Linked DNA regions of Pelodiscus sinensis. The protein of the gene in region 2 purifies or fractionates together with the protein of the main gene of each other region. This does not show direct contact. Links are inferred from orthologs where the notes say so. Each region holds a gene or a part of one and is shown on either strand. Other genes may lie near its edges.

The links. Proteins that work in one complex are often made in the same cells at the same time.
Region 1: the proteins of RBPJ (region 2) and NOTCH2 purify together in Homo sapiens (affinity purification with mass spectrometry; 3 studies listed by BioGRID and IntAct, counting the BioPlex papers as one, with this or other methods). This does not show direct contact. The link is inferred for Pelodiscus sinensis from reciprocal best matches to the Homo sapiens genes RBPJ and NOTCH2.

The regions. Positions count from the first base shown.
Region 1 is NW_027465903.1:258,659-266,517, reverse strand, and holds the start of NOTCH2 (neurogenic locus notch homolog protein 2), read left to right. Parts: upstream 1-4,656; 5' UTR 4,657-4,753; coding exon 4,754-4,811; intron 4,812-7,859. UniProt on the Homo sapiens protein: Functions as a receptor for membrane-bound ligands Jagged-1 (JAG1), Jagged-2 (JAG2) and Delta-1 (DLL1) to regulate cell-fate determination.
Region 2 is NC_134715.1:101,459,973-101,467,699, forward strand, and holds the start of RBPJ (recombining binding protein suppressor of hairless), read right to left. Parts: upstream 3,334-7,727; 5' UTR 3,037-3,333; coding exon of another isoform or gene 3,017-3,036; intron 1-3,016. UniProt on the Homo sapiens protein: Transcriptional regulator that plays a central role in Notch signaling, a signaling pathway involved in cell-cell communication that regulates a broad spectrum of cell-fate determinations.

The sequences.
Region 1 (7,859 bases), on a different chromosome or scaffold from region 2:
AAGTGTGAACTTAGCAGAGAAAGTGAAGAGCATCTAATTTAATTCATACTAGGGGGGAAAACAGAATGCTAGGCTACACCAATGCAAAGATGTGGGTTGCCTGCAATAAGGGAGGGTGGCAATTGGAACTCAAGCAAAGGTGTGCAGGATGAGAGGTGTGGCATGGTAAATGGATGGGCAGTGATCATTTCTTCTGAATTGTATCCCAAAGCATGTGTTGCCAAGAAATAGAAAAAAGCCATACTGATGAGCGTACAACTGGGAGAGACATGGCAATTTCATGCCTTGGATGGCCATGTTGAGTGGAGTGTAGGTTTCTGTGGAGTGCGTTATTTTAAATGCCCAGTTCACGTACTAGCGGGATTGGGATTCTAAGTAACCTTCCTAGAGGGGGCTGTGAGGCCTGGGCATTCCAAGAACTCTACTGAAATTGTGCCAAGCAAGAATGGACTTTAGGGAGAAATATGTGTCGAGGACTTCCTGGGAAATACCCAAGAAGGTGATCATGCAAATTGCCAGCTGGGATGGGGCGCTGACACATGCACACTCACCAGAATGCATGGGGAAAGGTGGCAGGAGAGGCCAATTGCCTTTAAAGTCGCACATGCTCACAAGCTCAGGGTCAATCAATCAGACTGAGACTGAAGCACAGCTGGGCAGGAACAACTGGGGCTTGTGTAAAACCAAGATGCTGGCTGCAGAGGCAGGGAGGTGGCCTGCAGCTGCACACCCTGGTATGAGAGAGAGCAGGAGCCTGAGGAAAGCAGGGTAGGAAGCTATGGAGGGAAAGAATAGTGATGTCTGGGAGCTAGACCCGAGCCACTAGTCTGAGGATCCCTGGATTGGAACCCAGTGTAGAGGGGGGCTCAGATTCCCTTTCCAGGGGCACACTCAGCACAGAGGAGAGAGACTGCCTGAGACTGAGGCAGGGGAGACTGATAATACTCCAGAGGGGAGGACAAAGGTGACTTGCCTGGAGGACTAAGCCAGCGAAGAGTGGCCAGCAGAAGAGCCTGGTGGCACTACACCTAGGCACAAGTGGGTACTCTAGAGTTGTGTGTGTACCCTGCTACATAATGGTTCCAGAAGTGGGATTGTGCACACTCCTCTCTGAGGAAGCAGGGGAAGAGCCCATCTGCCTTAATGGTGAGGGGTAGGCAGCCAGACTGTGGCTAGCATCTCAACAGGAGCAGACACGTTCTCTTTTGTTACCTCTACTGCAAGAGCAGAGAGATTTCCTGCAGTGCCTAGAAAAATGCAGAAGTGGATTGGGCAAGTTTGTGGGAAATAAAGACTTTGTGTGAGGAGAGGAAAGAAACTGTCCTGACCATAGACCCTGATTGGCTGCCCCAAATGTGACCTGTAAAAGGTCTGAAAGCTTCATGAGAACATTGCAAAGGAGGCCCTGCAAATACATATCCAAGATGGAGAATTCTGGAAAGAACGTCATGAAGATGATGAAAGGTCAGGGAGCAGCTTGGGCTCTGGAAGCCTGGAGTGAGGAAGTCCCAGAGTCTGGACAGCTGCACTCTTGACCCAAGCCTTCTGAGCCTGAATCAGCTGAGGTGAGTCAGCCATGAGTGTGTTATGCAATGCAGATGTATCTGGTGCAGACCCAGACTCAGGGTTGGGTAACAGTATATAATGGGGGCAGCACACTGCTGGGCCAGTGTAGGGTCCTGCAAAGGAAGTCCAGATATTTGGGCATTTGCAGGTAGAAGACGACTTCAGTAGCCTGACAGCAGCATTACTCAGATTTAGATTTGTTCGAGATACCCCGGGAAGGGTTTGAACTAAGGATGTTAAGGACTAGTCGACTAGTTGGCTACGTCTAGACTGGCATGATTTTCCACAAATGCTTTTAACGGAAAAGTTTTTCCATTAAAAGCATTTGCAGAAAAGAGCGTCTAGATTACCACGGATGCTTTTCCACAAAAGCACTTTTTGCGGAAAAGCGTCCGTGCCAATCTAGACGTGGTTTTCCGCAAGAAAGCCCCGATCGCCATTTTTGCCATCGGGGCTTTTTTGCGCAAAACAGTTTTTAGCTGTCTAAACTGGCCCTCTTGCGCAAAAACATTTCCGGAAAAGGGCTTTTGCCCGAACGGGAACGTCAAAGTATTTGCGCAAGAAGCACTGATTTCGGACAGTAGAACATCAGTGCTTTTGCACAAAATCAAGTGGCCAGTGTAGACAGCTGGCAAGTTTTTGTGCAAAAGCAGCCACTTTTGTGGAAAAACTTGCCAGTCTAGATGCAGCCGTTGATTCCCCCTCCTTGCTGCCTCTCTCAGAGGCAGCAAATGGGGGGGAAAGAGGGGGCTCTTCAAAGCGGCAGTGCCGCACAGCTGAGCCTGGGATCAGCTGTGTGGCACTGTTGCATGTGGAGCCTGGGGTTAGCTGGGGACTCCCTAGCTGATCCTGGGCTCTATGTAGTATTTCAGTGGAACCCAGCGTCAGCTGGGGAGCCCCTAGCTCCACGTGGCATTTCAAATCTGCAGTTCCTTGCTAACCCCGGGCTCCATGCTGCGCTGCCACTTTGAAATGCACAAGAGCCCCTGCTGGGACTCATACTTTTCAAAGCTGGTCCCTGCATGCAGCCCAGAGTCAATGGGACTTCCCGCGGGCCCTGGGCTGCACAGGGAGTTCTGCATTCCTCCTTTGAAATGTACAAAAGCCTCAGCAGGGGCTCTTGTACATTTCAAAGGAGGAATGTGGAAGTGGGTATGAACTAGTTGAGTAGTCCATGCAAATTCCATTGACTAGTCAATTAACTGTTACTTAACATCCATAGTTTGAACTTTGTGAGTTGACTGAAGGTTTGAGCCACAAGAGCTGGAGCCAAAAGCAGTTGCCCAGTAGATGCTGGAGCTGAGGATCTTTGGTGACATTGCAGCTGGACAAAAGCGTGAATGTGCCCCTCCACAGTCAGATACGCGGATGTGCCAGAGTGGGGAACAGCCTTGACAATGTACTTCCACAACAGGTGGTATGTGAGGTCTCTACCAAGAGCCAATAGCCCATTCAACAGCATAATCGCTGCAAAATGGATGGATGGATAGTATTTTAGGAGCTGTGTCTAAACAGAAAATGATGTTCTCAGGGAAGTTTAACCAGCAGGTGACATCTCTGCCAGGTCCCTTTAAAGCAAACATTCCTCTCTCTGCCTGGTCAGGTGCTACTGGGCATTGTTTGTTTCTCAGTGTAGGCCTGTTTGCATGATTAAGAACCAGAATGCTAATCGAGGGATTGTGCAATCTTCCAGTGGAAACTTACCAGAAGAAACAAAACAGCAGGAGGGGATCCTGCCTGGGAGTGAAGACAATGGAGTGCTGGGAATTAATCCCAGCTAGGCATGCAGAGGAGGAAAGCAGTCAGTGTGACTAGCCTGGTGGAAAAGGGACAGGGGTGAAAGGATGTCAGGTGAGCATTGCAGGAATGCAGTTAAGTCTGGGGCTCTAGAACATGTTATAAATGGAGCCACGTGTTTCCAGTACCGCTACTGGCTGTCACTTGAATCTGTCTTCATGGTTAAATAAACTTGCTCTTACTCTCACTGTAAACATGTCTAAGTGTGTGTGGTGCAAAGCTGAGGTGGGCTGGGTAAGCTGCAGATACAGGTCTATGGGGAGCGGGGCCTGGCGGAGGCAGGGCCTGGAGCATGCTGGCTGCTCACCTGTAGTGAGGGAGCTGGGATGCTGAGACCTAGAGAGCAGGGCTCCTTGCCATTGGAGATGGTGGGGTGCCTCCGAGCCCAGGCATCGCGCTGCACCCTGCCCTGGTGGAGTTCCCCCTGTAGGACTCCCGAACCCTGGGGAAGGGCCCTTTGGTTCCCCCAGCTCCCTGGGGTAGAGGACTGTCTAACTCCCTTACGCTCTGACCCACTTCACCCCCTCACTGGTCTGCCTACCATGGAGTGTCTGGCTTCCCCTGCTCCCCAAGCTTCCCAGACTGGAAGGGAAGAGAGGCTGTGCCTGCCCCCCGCCCCCGGGCTCCCTGGCTGGACTGGGGAGCTATATCTGGCTCCCCCCTAGGACCCTGTGACGGGGGGGCTGTATCAGCCCCCCCCAGGGATTCCCTGGCTAGCAGGGCAGTATCTGGGCTCCCTGGCGGGGGGGCTGTGGTTGGGGGGTCTGTCTGGGTTCCCTGGCGGGGGGGGGGCGCTGTGTGGCGGGGGGGGGCTGTGTCTGGGTTCCCTGGCGGGGGGGGGGCGCTGTGTGGCGGGGGGGGGCTGTGTCTGGGTTCCCCGGCGGGGGGGGCGCTGTGTGGCGGGGGGGCTGTGTCTGGGTTCCCCGGCGGGGGGGGGGGGCGCTGTGTGGCGGGGGGGGGCTGTGTCTGGGTTCCCCGGCGGGGGGGGGGGGGCGCTGTGTGGCGGGGGGGGGCTGTGTCTGGGTTCCCCGGCGGGGGGGGCGCTGTGTGGCGGGGGGGGGCTGTGTCTGGGTTCCCTGGCGGGGGGGGGCGCTGTGTGGCGGGGGGGCTGTCTGGGTTCCCGGGGGGGGGGGCTGGGGCTGGAGCTGGGTTCCCGGCGAGGGGACGGGGGGGGGGCTGTCGGGTTCCCGGGGGGGGTGCAGCGGCCCCCCCCGGTGCCGGGCTCGCGGCGGGCGCCCCCTACCGGCCGCTGCGGGCGGCGCGCAGGAAGCGGGGGCGGGGCGGGGCGGGGCGGGGCGGGCGGCGCGAGCCCGGATCCCTCCGCTCCCGGCCGCGGCCCCCGATCGCTCCGCGCGGCCCGAGCCGCCGCCTGCTGCCTCCGCTCGGGGCGATGCGGGGGGGCCCGGCGCTCGGGGCGCTGCTGCTGCTGCTGGTCCGCGGGGCGCCGGGTGAGTGCGGGGGGGAGACTGCCCCCCCCCCCGAGAGACCCCCCCCCCGGCTCCTGCCCCCTCCGGCTCCTGCCCCCCCCGAGAGACTGCCCCCTTCCGGCTCCTGCCCCCCCCCGAGAGACCCCCCCCCCGGCTCCTGCCCCCCCGAGAGACCCCCCCCCGGCTCCTGCCCCCCCGAGAGACCCCCCGGCTCCTGCCCCCCCCCCGAGAGACCCCCCCCTCCGGCTCCTGCCCCCCCCGAGAGACCCCCCCTCCGGCTCCTGCCCCCCCCCGGGAGACTGCCCCCCCGAGATACTACCCCCCCCCGGGAGACTGCCCCCCCCGGGAGACTGCCCCCCCCCCGGCTCCTGCCCCCCCCCGAGAGACCCCCCCTCCGGCTCCTGCCCCCCCCGAGAGACCCCCCCCTCCGGCTCCTGCCCCCCCCGAGAGACCCCCCCCTCCGGCTCCTGCCCCCCCCGGCTCCTGCCCCCCCGAGAGACTGCCCCCTTCCGGCTCCTGCCCCCCCGAGAGACTGCCCCCTTCCGGCTCCTGCCCCCCCCGAGAGACTGCCCCCTTCCGGCTCCTGCACCCCCCCCGAGAGACTACCCTCCCTCCGGCTCCTGCCCCCCCCCCGAGAGACCCCTCCCTCCGGCTCCTGCCCCCCCCCCGGAGAGACCCCCCCTCCGGCTCCTGCCCCCCCCGAGAGACTGCCCCCCCCCCGGAGTGACTACCCCCCTCCGGCTCCTGCCCCCCCCGGAGAGACTGCCCCCCCTCCGGCTCCTGCCCCCCCGGAGAGACTACCCCCCCTGCTCCTGCCACCCCCTGGGGAGACTGCCCCCCCGAAGAGACTACCCCCTCTCCGGCTCCTGCCCCCCCCGGAGAGACTGCCCCTGCCCGGCTCCTGCCCCCCTCCCAGGGAGACTGCCTCTGCCCCCCCTGGAGAGACTGCCCCTGCCCCGGTCCTGGCCCCCCCCCCGGGAGACTGCCCCTGCCCGGCTCCTGCCTCCCCCCCGGGGAGACTGCCCCTGCCCCCCCCGGGGAGACTGCCCCTGCCCCCCCTGGGGAGACTGCCCCTGCCCCGCTCCTGCCCCCCCCTCCCGGGGAGATTGCCCCTGCCCCGGTCCTGGGCCCCCCCCGGGGAGACTGCCCCTGCCCTGGCTCCTGGGCCCCCTCGGTGGGGCCCCTTGGTGCGACTGTCCCTGCCCCTGTCCTGGGGCCCCTCCGCACAGGGGACCTTGCCCTGCCCCGTCTCCTTTGGGTCCCGTTGGTGTGGCGGTCTCTAGGGTGTGTGGTCTCCCTGCCATGCAGTACTATTTAGGGGCCTGCTCTGGCCCCGTTGCCCAGGGGGTCTCGTTGGTTTGGGGGTCTCTGGGGAGCTCACTCTTCTCCCATCATCCCAGCTCCCCTTCTTTGTGTCCCTTGGAATCTGACCTCTGCGCCTCCCTGCCTCAGGGCCTGCAACGAGTGTGGTGGGGTGACACCCCCGTAACCTCCCACGCCTGGCCCCACAAGTGTGGGGATGCGCATGGGAAGAGGAGCGTGTCCACTGCCTCTGCCAGCCCCCCAGACAGGGAGATGGAGGGAGACTGCCAGCCTGCCTCAGTACAAATTCAGACGTGTTAATGAAACTCTACAAATCAATAATGGCAACTTGGGGTTGGGGTGCTCTGTTGGGTTCCCTGTTGTGTTTACAAGTTGCTTGTGGCAGTGCATGGGAGCCGGGCAGGATATCGGACTAGAAACCGATGTGGAAAAACATGGGTCTCTTGTTTTGGCTAGGGAAGCACAGAGTGCATAGACAAGCACCCTGCGATATGAAATGTAATTCATTGCTAATGTAAAGTGTTATAGGTAACAATACAGGGAATTAAAGTACTTGTGCTGACTTTACTGTGCCTCTTGGAGCAGAGCAGAGTACCGCTTGAGGGCCCAGATCACCAGTTCTGGAGTTTTCACTGACTTCTGCGTGTTTAGCATGTTGCACTTGTGACACTATTTGGGGGTGAGAGAGGTATCCAGGGCAGATCTCTGTCACCTGCCCGCAGCATGAGACAGCCTCGTCTGTGCCCAAAGGGGAAGATTCCCTCAAATTTGCCAGCCACTGGGAGGACAAGCGCTCTGCTGCAGGGTCCATGGGCCTCACCTTCTGCTTGTACAGGCTGCCCCCCCTTTGATACACTCAGGTGCCGGGTCCCTTCTCTTCCATGTACCCACACAACGTTCACTCTTCTACTGCCTCCCTGGAGCAGTGCCCCAGCTTCACCTCAGTGCCACACTCTCTTTAGTGCATGGCAAGTCCTGTCTATAGTAAACCCAGATAGGAGTTTTTTTAGCAAAGCAAAGATAAAGATCTAAAACAGACACAAGTGAAAAGGCTGGAAACATGAGGTTACAGAGAAAAGAAAAACATTACATGCAAATCTAGTGCCTCTACTTTTTTAAAGAAGTTCTGTACCCATCTAGTAAGATACTTCTTACCCAGTGATCAGTTCTTACAGCATTTGTCCAATCTAGAGAAGTGGTAGCGACTGTTCCTGAAACACTCACGCAGGTGTCACCTTGGTAATGGATAACATCTTTCTTCTTGTCTGAGACAGCACCAGACTTTTGTTCCTTCAGAATCTGGGTGTTTCATTAACTTCAGCTCATCTCTGGGTCTCTTAAGTATTTTCTACACCAGTGGTGTTCACAGTTACTTGGCTTGTGAACCACATGCTCAAGCCGGCATTTGATCCAGCCTGTAAGCACAGGGCTGGGTTAGATCAGGTTGAAAGATGTTGACTGCACTCATTCTTGATTGAATTAGCTGAGACACACACCTCTCCTCAGGTGACATGCCTCACTGCATACAGTTTTCGAACAGAAGTCTGTACATTTTATATCTCTCCAAAATTTCCCCTGCAATTTGCAGTAACTTTAACCATCATCTAGTTCTTAGTTTTTGGCAGAGACCATGTACAACCTCCTACGATGAATTATTGAGAAGATGGTTAGACACAGGTGTAATATACCATCCTGGGCATGTCTCTGTCACAGTAAGGTTGAAACCAAAGTATTTTAGAGTGTTGC
Region 2 (7,727 bases):
AGTGATGAAAACTTTCTATCACTCACATGGAAAAGAGCTTACAATAGTTTGTCTATAAATTATCCATTTCCATTAGTAAAATATTTTTGGGAAGAAGATGTTTTCAGTTACTTATCTGACACATTACTAAAACATTTTTCATTATCTCTATATTGGCTACTGAAGTGAGTAATTTATGTTAAATCATAATAATATATGTATGCTTCCTTTCGCATAAAATATCCTTCTGAATAAAATGGGTATAGTATATACCTTCATGTAGATAAGAAACCAGGTGTGTTTTGGCTATACCAGAAAAACAGCTTCTGTGGTGAAATGCTAACCTCACTATTTGATGAACAGGTTACTGGCACAAGTGAATAGATGTATTACTGTAATTTAAGTTTTAGCAGTCAGAGTTTTCACAGAAAGACTGGTTCTATAAAAAGGCATTCATTCAACTTGTGTTTGATTCGCAAACATTCACTTACACACTTTGTCTAGCAATCTCAATGTGAATAAAAATTGCATACCACCACTGAAAATGAGTGCAAAATGTAATTAACTATATTCTTGAATTTATTAATTCTAGAAAGACTTTGAATTTCAAACTGTTTTCTCCGCTATTCTCTAAAACTTGAGAGAGAGACTGATTTACACTAGAATCATTGGAAGTTTCTTAATTATTACAGTACTTTATGAAAAATTTTCACTTATTAAATGTCATCAGATTTTAACATACTGTTTTCACTGTGGATATAACATTGTTAATCCAAAACTAAGATATAATATTACTAATCCATGAACCTGATAAAGCTGACAAAATCCCAGTTGGCTCATTCTCCTTTATAACATTAAATATCTATGTGGCAAACTAAAACTATACCTGTCAAAATGTAGCCATCTGATTTAACAAGGTTCTACCAACCAGACAGCAGGTCAATTTAATAATGCCACACCTGATAATAAATCTTAACATGTCTTTTATAGCTTACCTATGTGATACAAAATGTTTGAAGCAATCATCCATAATAATAAATAAGTCAGGGTCTTATTTATCAACTCTGACCGTCAGTAAGTACTCTGATGCAGGGTCACAGGGAATGACAAGGAATTCCAGTCTTTAATAGGAATTACTAAAATTATGCATGTTTTGAGTAGGGATGTGAGCATACAGTCAAGTAAACAATTAACTGACAAGCAAGAGGCGGGGGGGGGGAGGGGGGAGTCGATGCCCATGAGGAGCTGGCTTTAGAATCCTCCAGCACACTTTTCTCCTTTCGTGTTAAAGCACAAGCCTTTCTTCTACTGTTAGCATGATTTTGTAATTCATAAGAAACTTCATTATGGATTTGGCTTATGAATTAGTGAAAATGTAGCATATATATCCTAAGACACAGGATGACACAAACCTGAGAACATTAGACAGCACTTTGATAATCAACGAGCAAAGGATATAATTGTCAAATGATCAGAAAATTAAATGAAAAGAAAATAAACTGAAATAAAATTAATACATAACCACCCCAGCAGTATTTAAAGCAACATTTTAAAGCACTTTTCGTCTTGTTCCCTCATCCTTACAATTCTAAATAGTTCCAGACAGAAACCATAACAAACACCTGCTGCCTTAAAGAATGTGTATTAGGGGGGGAAAAAAACACAGCAGAAGCAAGCTCCATTTGAACATGAAAGAAACCAGGCAACCTCCAAGGCAGCAGTTTAGATCTTGTTCTCAACAACCAAGAAACAAAAATGGAACAACCACTGAGGCCAAAATGAAACAAGAAAAATACTATAATGCCACTTTTCTCAAGAAAACAAAAACAACTATCAATATTCCCCCCCCCCCCCCCCCCCCCAAAAAAAAAGCAAAGGCAGGATGCTAGTCTCTCTAACCAAATAGCCATGTTTGGAGACAGAGTAATCTCAACAAGGAAAAAGAGTAAAAGAGTATTCTGCGTGTCTTTGACAATCACTGTAAAAATATCAAATTAAGTCCACCATGTCAAGATGTTCAACAATATTAAGACCCATCAGGAATTTGTTTTGTACTATCAGGGTGCGAGCAGACAAGGCCTGCTATTGTACATGTAGCCCCATTCCTCAAGAGTCACTATGTATTCAGAGGAGTGGATGAAACTATACAGTGTGACCCAAGAGTGGAGAATGATGCCTGCTATGTGCAGTGTAACTCAAGATGTAGCAGAGATGTGTAAAACGACTGCTGATGCACTGTACCACTATGGTGAGTCTACCATTATTACCTAACAAAAGCTGATTAGTCATATGCCACTGATTAACATCACACAGATTACAGGTGGAAGGTCATTATTCCGTATGGCCCAGTGGCGCTGATAAGGATGGCAGCTAGTCTTTATTGTGACTCAATGAGGAGCAGCTGGAGTGGGAAAGGCTTCTCCTCTTCTGCTGGCACCGATAGTCACTTGTAACCCCAAGAACGGTGAACAGGCAGAGGGAAACGGGAACTTCCACCCACTCCTGAAAGGGAGCAGGAGATTTGCTTGGGGAAAGGCTTGTCCTACTGATGGGACCTAGCGCCTGGTGAGTTCAGCGCAGCCCGGTGACTGACGACGGAGGTGCTCTGCCCCCCTCGACTACGAAGGAGGGGAAGCAGCACTCAGCTTCCCCTCAGCGAGACAAGAGCCTTTGTCTAGTGCCCCCGGGCCGGTGGCTAAGGGTGCTCCGACCCCACGAAAGGCATTCACCTCGGAAAGGGGGGTGTCCGGCACGAAGGCTCCCCCACGTCCCACGCAGGATTTGGGAAGGGCGGCCCACCCCACCCCACACTATGCGCCTCAGGATCCCGGCCTATGGCCCGGGGGCCTTCCCTGATGCAGCCACCTGGGGGTCCCAACCCCCCTGGGTCCGAGTCTCGGGGCCTCCGCCGGGCCGCCCGGCTAGTTGCTCCCGCATCCCCGGAAGGAGAACTGGGAAGCAGCAAGCCCAGCGTGGCCGCCGGTGAGCGCGGAACGGAATCGCTCCCGGCCCGGCGCTGCGAAACCCCCGCACTTACCCTGTCACAACAGGCGCCATCTTCCACAAACTCTCGCCAAAACTCCTACTCTCGCGAGAGCTGCCTCCTCCAGCCCAGGCCGAGTGCGCGCGTGCACGGGCCCGTGAGACACACACGCGGTCGCGGAGCGGAGAGAGTGGGGGAAGCGCGCCACCCCCTCATTCCCGGGTTCTCCCTTCAGACACAACAGCGGCAACAGGCGTGGGAACCTGCCCAAAACTCGCGAGAACTCTAGCAGCGGCCTGCTGGGCGCTAAGGGAGAAGCTGGACTAGTCTCGCGAGAGCGAAGGGAAGGCAAAGGGTGGGGGACTCCTTCGCGGCCGCGCTGCGCTGGGAGTGTTTGTTTCGGAGTCTCCTTGAGCCGAGGAGGAACAAACCACGCGCGGGAGAGGGGTGGGAGGGACCATTCGGGTGGGGCAGCCAGGATCCGTCCCCCAGGCGCTCCTCTGCCCGTGGCCGACACGCAGCGCGCCCCGGAGTGCTGAGCGGCCCCGGCCCGCGCCAGCCAGCGAGCGAGCGATCGCTGCCTTCCAGCGCTGCCCTCTCCGCGGAGCGGCCCGGGCCGCCTCCCCGCCTTGGGGGTCGCACGCTGGTGGCCGGTTAGCCGCTGCTGTCCCGCGCTTCGCAGCCCTCGTCTCCCCTGCCCGCCGGCTCCGTACCCTGCTGTAGGGACGCCCTCAAGCGCCCTGCCTGGCAGGGGTTGTGCGTCCTTCCTCACCCCCACCTCTGCGAGCCCACCCGGGGAGGGGGGGGGCTGTCTCCCCGCTTGTTTACAGACACAGGTAGAGAAATCCCAGGGTTGGGGGCCCCTTCGCAACTGCATTTTGGCTGCACTGAAAAAGGTAGAGAGCTGGCAAGAGAAGCAATGTCAGTACCAGGGTATTACATTGTCCACTCCTGACAATTCCTTGGCACTAGTGATTTAACAGAAAAGGGAAAATTCTGATTTGAGGCCCTGAGCTGGGCATTTAGCAATCAGAAAGGTCATTTGCAAAACTAAGGCCGGGTGTAAGCTGGGAGCTTATGTCAATTTGACTGTCTTAGGTTGATTTGCTAAACAGTGAAACCACTATGCCCATCCCAATTCTGTTGACTTTAAGTGCAGTTAAGGTCAATTTTGGAACTCCTGCTTAGAATGACACTAAATTTGACCTTGCATGGTCAACTTTATGGTAGTTCAGACACAATGCTGAGAAAGTCGTAGTTCAGGCATGACTAATCTAAACTTGAGAAGGAGCCAGAATTTTCTAATACACATTGCCAAAGAGCAGTTATATGTCACCAGCCCTGATCATGTCCTCACCACCACTGTCAGCACATCCCCCCACTCCCACTGATCAGAGCCTGTTCCTGCCCACTGTGATCAGCTCTTTCTGAATGGGAGACACTGGAGGGGAGAAGCATGGGTGTGACAGGTTCAGTGGAGAATGTGGGAAGTGGCAGGATCCTAGGAGAAAAGGGCAGAGGGGGACAGCACCTAGGGCAGAGTTGGGGATTGAACAGCCTCTGGACCAGTGGAAAGTTGGCACTTGCAGCTCCAGCACTGGATTTGGTACCTATGAAAGGAGTCCCATATTATCTTCTGAAGAGACACATGTGGCTCTGGAGCTACAGGTTGGCCACCCCTGTCAGGCTATGTCTACACTGGCGGGTTCTTGTGCAAGAACCCTCAGAGCATCCACACTGCCCACCTGCTCTTGTGCAAGAAGATTTACAGTATGGTGTCAGAAGAGTTACGCTCTTTTCTAACAAGTGTAAGCCCTCTTGTGCAACAGGGCAGTGTGGATACACGGCAGGGGCTTCTTGCACAAGAAAGCCCTATGGCTAAAATGGCCATCAGAGCTTTTTTGCGCAAGACAGCGTCCACACTGCCATGGATGCTCTGGCGCAAAAGCACATGGCAGTGTGGATGTGTTCTTGTGCAAGAACCCGCCAATGTAGACATAGCCCCATAGTTTTTGGCTTCTAGCATGCATCCTATAGTACCCCACAGTGTCCACTCTGGCCAGGACTTTCAACTCTACTGCTCTCCAAGGGTATGTCTACACTATCTCGTTAATTCGAGCTAGGTAGCCAAATCAGGCAACCGGAGTTGCAAATGAAGCCCAGGATTTAAATAAATCCTTAGTTCGGATTAACTGTTACACCTCATTCCATTCCATGAGGAGTAACAGTTAATCCAAACTAAGAATTTAGTTTGTATTAACTTTAAACTGTTGCGTGTAGCCGCAGGCAGTTCGTTCGAACTAAGGGGGATTTAAAAATGGCGTCCGGACAGGAACATGCAAATAAAGCCTGGGATATTTAAATCCTGGGCTTCATTTGCAACTCCAGTTGCCTGATTTGCCTATCTAGCTCGAATTAATGAGCTAGTGTAAACATACCCCAAGTGACCAGGAAAAGAACTGGAAAATTTTGAATTTCATTTCCAGTTTGGCTAGCAGACTTCAGAGCAGGCAGCACACCTGAGTAGCACACTTACCCACCCCACATTGATTTCTAGCTGACTGGTAGCTGTATGGCATTGCAAGCTTTCATAGGGCAATTGCCATTCACTTCACTGTCAGAGCAGATCTCATTCTGGTATTCTTGTGCTTCAGGGTGGGGGAAAGCCATATACAAACTTTCATGAGAGTGACCTTACATATATAAAAGTTTTGCAGCTCTTGCCAGTCATCCCATAACTATGCCATCCCACCATTATGTGCTTCTCCGATAGCACCAGAACCAATGTCCCTATGTGTCCAGAGAATTGAAAGTTGGCAGCATTTCCAGTTGCTCAACCCAAGTGCTTTGCAAAAGAATATGTTCATGGCCTGACGAGATTCTTCCTCGCTCCAGCGGACCCTGGACATGCTCTAAGATAAGGCTCACTCTGAGTAATATGATTATCGTAATGCTTTGATGCTCAACAGAATCCATGATGGAGTCCATGCTATGTGCTATATGTGGATAACAAGGGGAAAAAAGTGTGTGAAGTGATTGTTTACCACTGCTTTCAAGTGGTGGGGTGAAGGGGAGGAGATGAGTGCACTATGAGATGCTGACGACATATCCCCAGAAGCACTCACTGCATAGTTTTGGTTCCAGTTTACACTGGGAACATAACCCAGAATGCAAGGGGCGAAGTAACTGTGGGATAGCTAACCAGAATACATAACTCTCAAAACTGACAGTAGCCCCCATGTGGACATGCTACTTTGAATTGTGTCAAATTCATGTGAACAGTAGGAACATGGACCTTGACAAAATCAGGTGCTACAAAAAACTGACCTTAGTAAATTTGCTCTTATCTCATAGTGTAGACATGGCCTAAATGTGCAATTTAACTTTCCAGACTACTGGTGTGGAAGTTCATAACTAGCTCTTCTTTCACCCCGTCAGCTTTCTGCCTCTGTAGCATCAATAAGCCATCTAGCTTCACACTCAAATCCCCAATATTAATACAAATATCCAATATGAGAATGAGTTTATCACTACTTCAGTCTTTTGTAAGTATGTCAACCAGACCTGCTAAACTTTCCATCATCTTTGTAATGTAATTTTTGGTCTGCATCTTCAACTTGAGCGACGAGGAGTCCTGTGGCACCTTATTGTAAGGGGACTGTTACCCCTTACTAAAACTCTGTGGGAGTTTTTTGGTTTACCAGCTTCAGAAGGGGAAGGGTTCATGAGACTGACAGACCCCAGAGACAATGGAAAGCAGTCAACACTCCAGCTCAGCCTGACTGACAGGTTGTAAGTGGGGATTGTTCTGGCTCTGTCTCTGAACAAACAAGCTGTGTGCAGAAGAGGTCCTGCAAAGACAGAGAGCTGAAAGAGGAGTACAAGAAGAAGTCCTGCAGCGACAGAACCAGACACAGACAGGCCAAGCAGTGCAGACCCTGTGTTGAGCAGCAGACTGGCAGTGCTCAGAAAGCCAAAAGGAACAGAGAGGCAACACAAGGAGCTGGAACTGGCCAAGCAGCACAGCCTGCAGCTGGATGTGGTGAGCTACTGGGACCTGCAAAGTGTGGAGAAAGGCTCTGGACTGGGAGAGGGGTCTGGCCACTTAGAGACTGAGGCTGTGTGGTCACTGCCAGTGCAAGCGTGTCCAGCCTGCAGCCCCTTGCAGCACTTCCAGGGCTTCTAAGGAAGAGACTGTGGACTGTCCTTAAACTCTGCAGACTGCTGTTTTGATGTCCCTGTGCTACAGAGCAGGGCTGTGTGTTCTCATTTAACCATTCTCATTGTTTCTTATTCTATTCTCTTTAATCAGTTGATGTTTAATAAATTGTATTTGCTTTGAACCTTATGAAGTGATCACTGGGCCAAGAAGGCCTGCAGTGTAAAGAGAGCACTTCGGAGTGGGGACACCCTAACTCCTGCCCCTAGTGACTACAAGGTCAGGGGTTAAGCCCCAGGAAACCTGGGCCCAGCCTTGTTGGGGTTTCAAGGGCTCTGCTACTCAGGAGAGTGGAGGGGGAGCCCTCAGGATCAGGGAGCCGTGGGGTAAAGGAAGTGGGAGCGGGGACTCAGATCCTTTCGCTGGTTCATTTCACCGGGGTGTATAGAAGCCAGGAAAGTTCCCCACAAGAGCGGGACCATTCCCCCGCTTACATTATGTTTGACTAACTGAAGTGTTGGAGCATAAGCTTTTGTGGGCAAAGACCCACTTCATCAGATGCATGTAGTGGAAATTTCCAGGGGCAGGTATAAATATGCAGGCCAG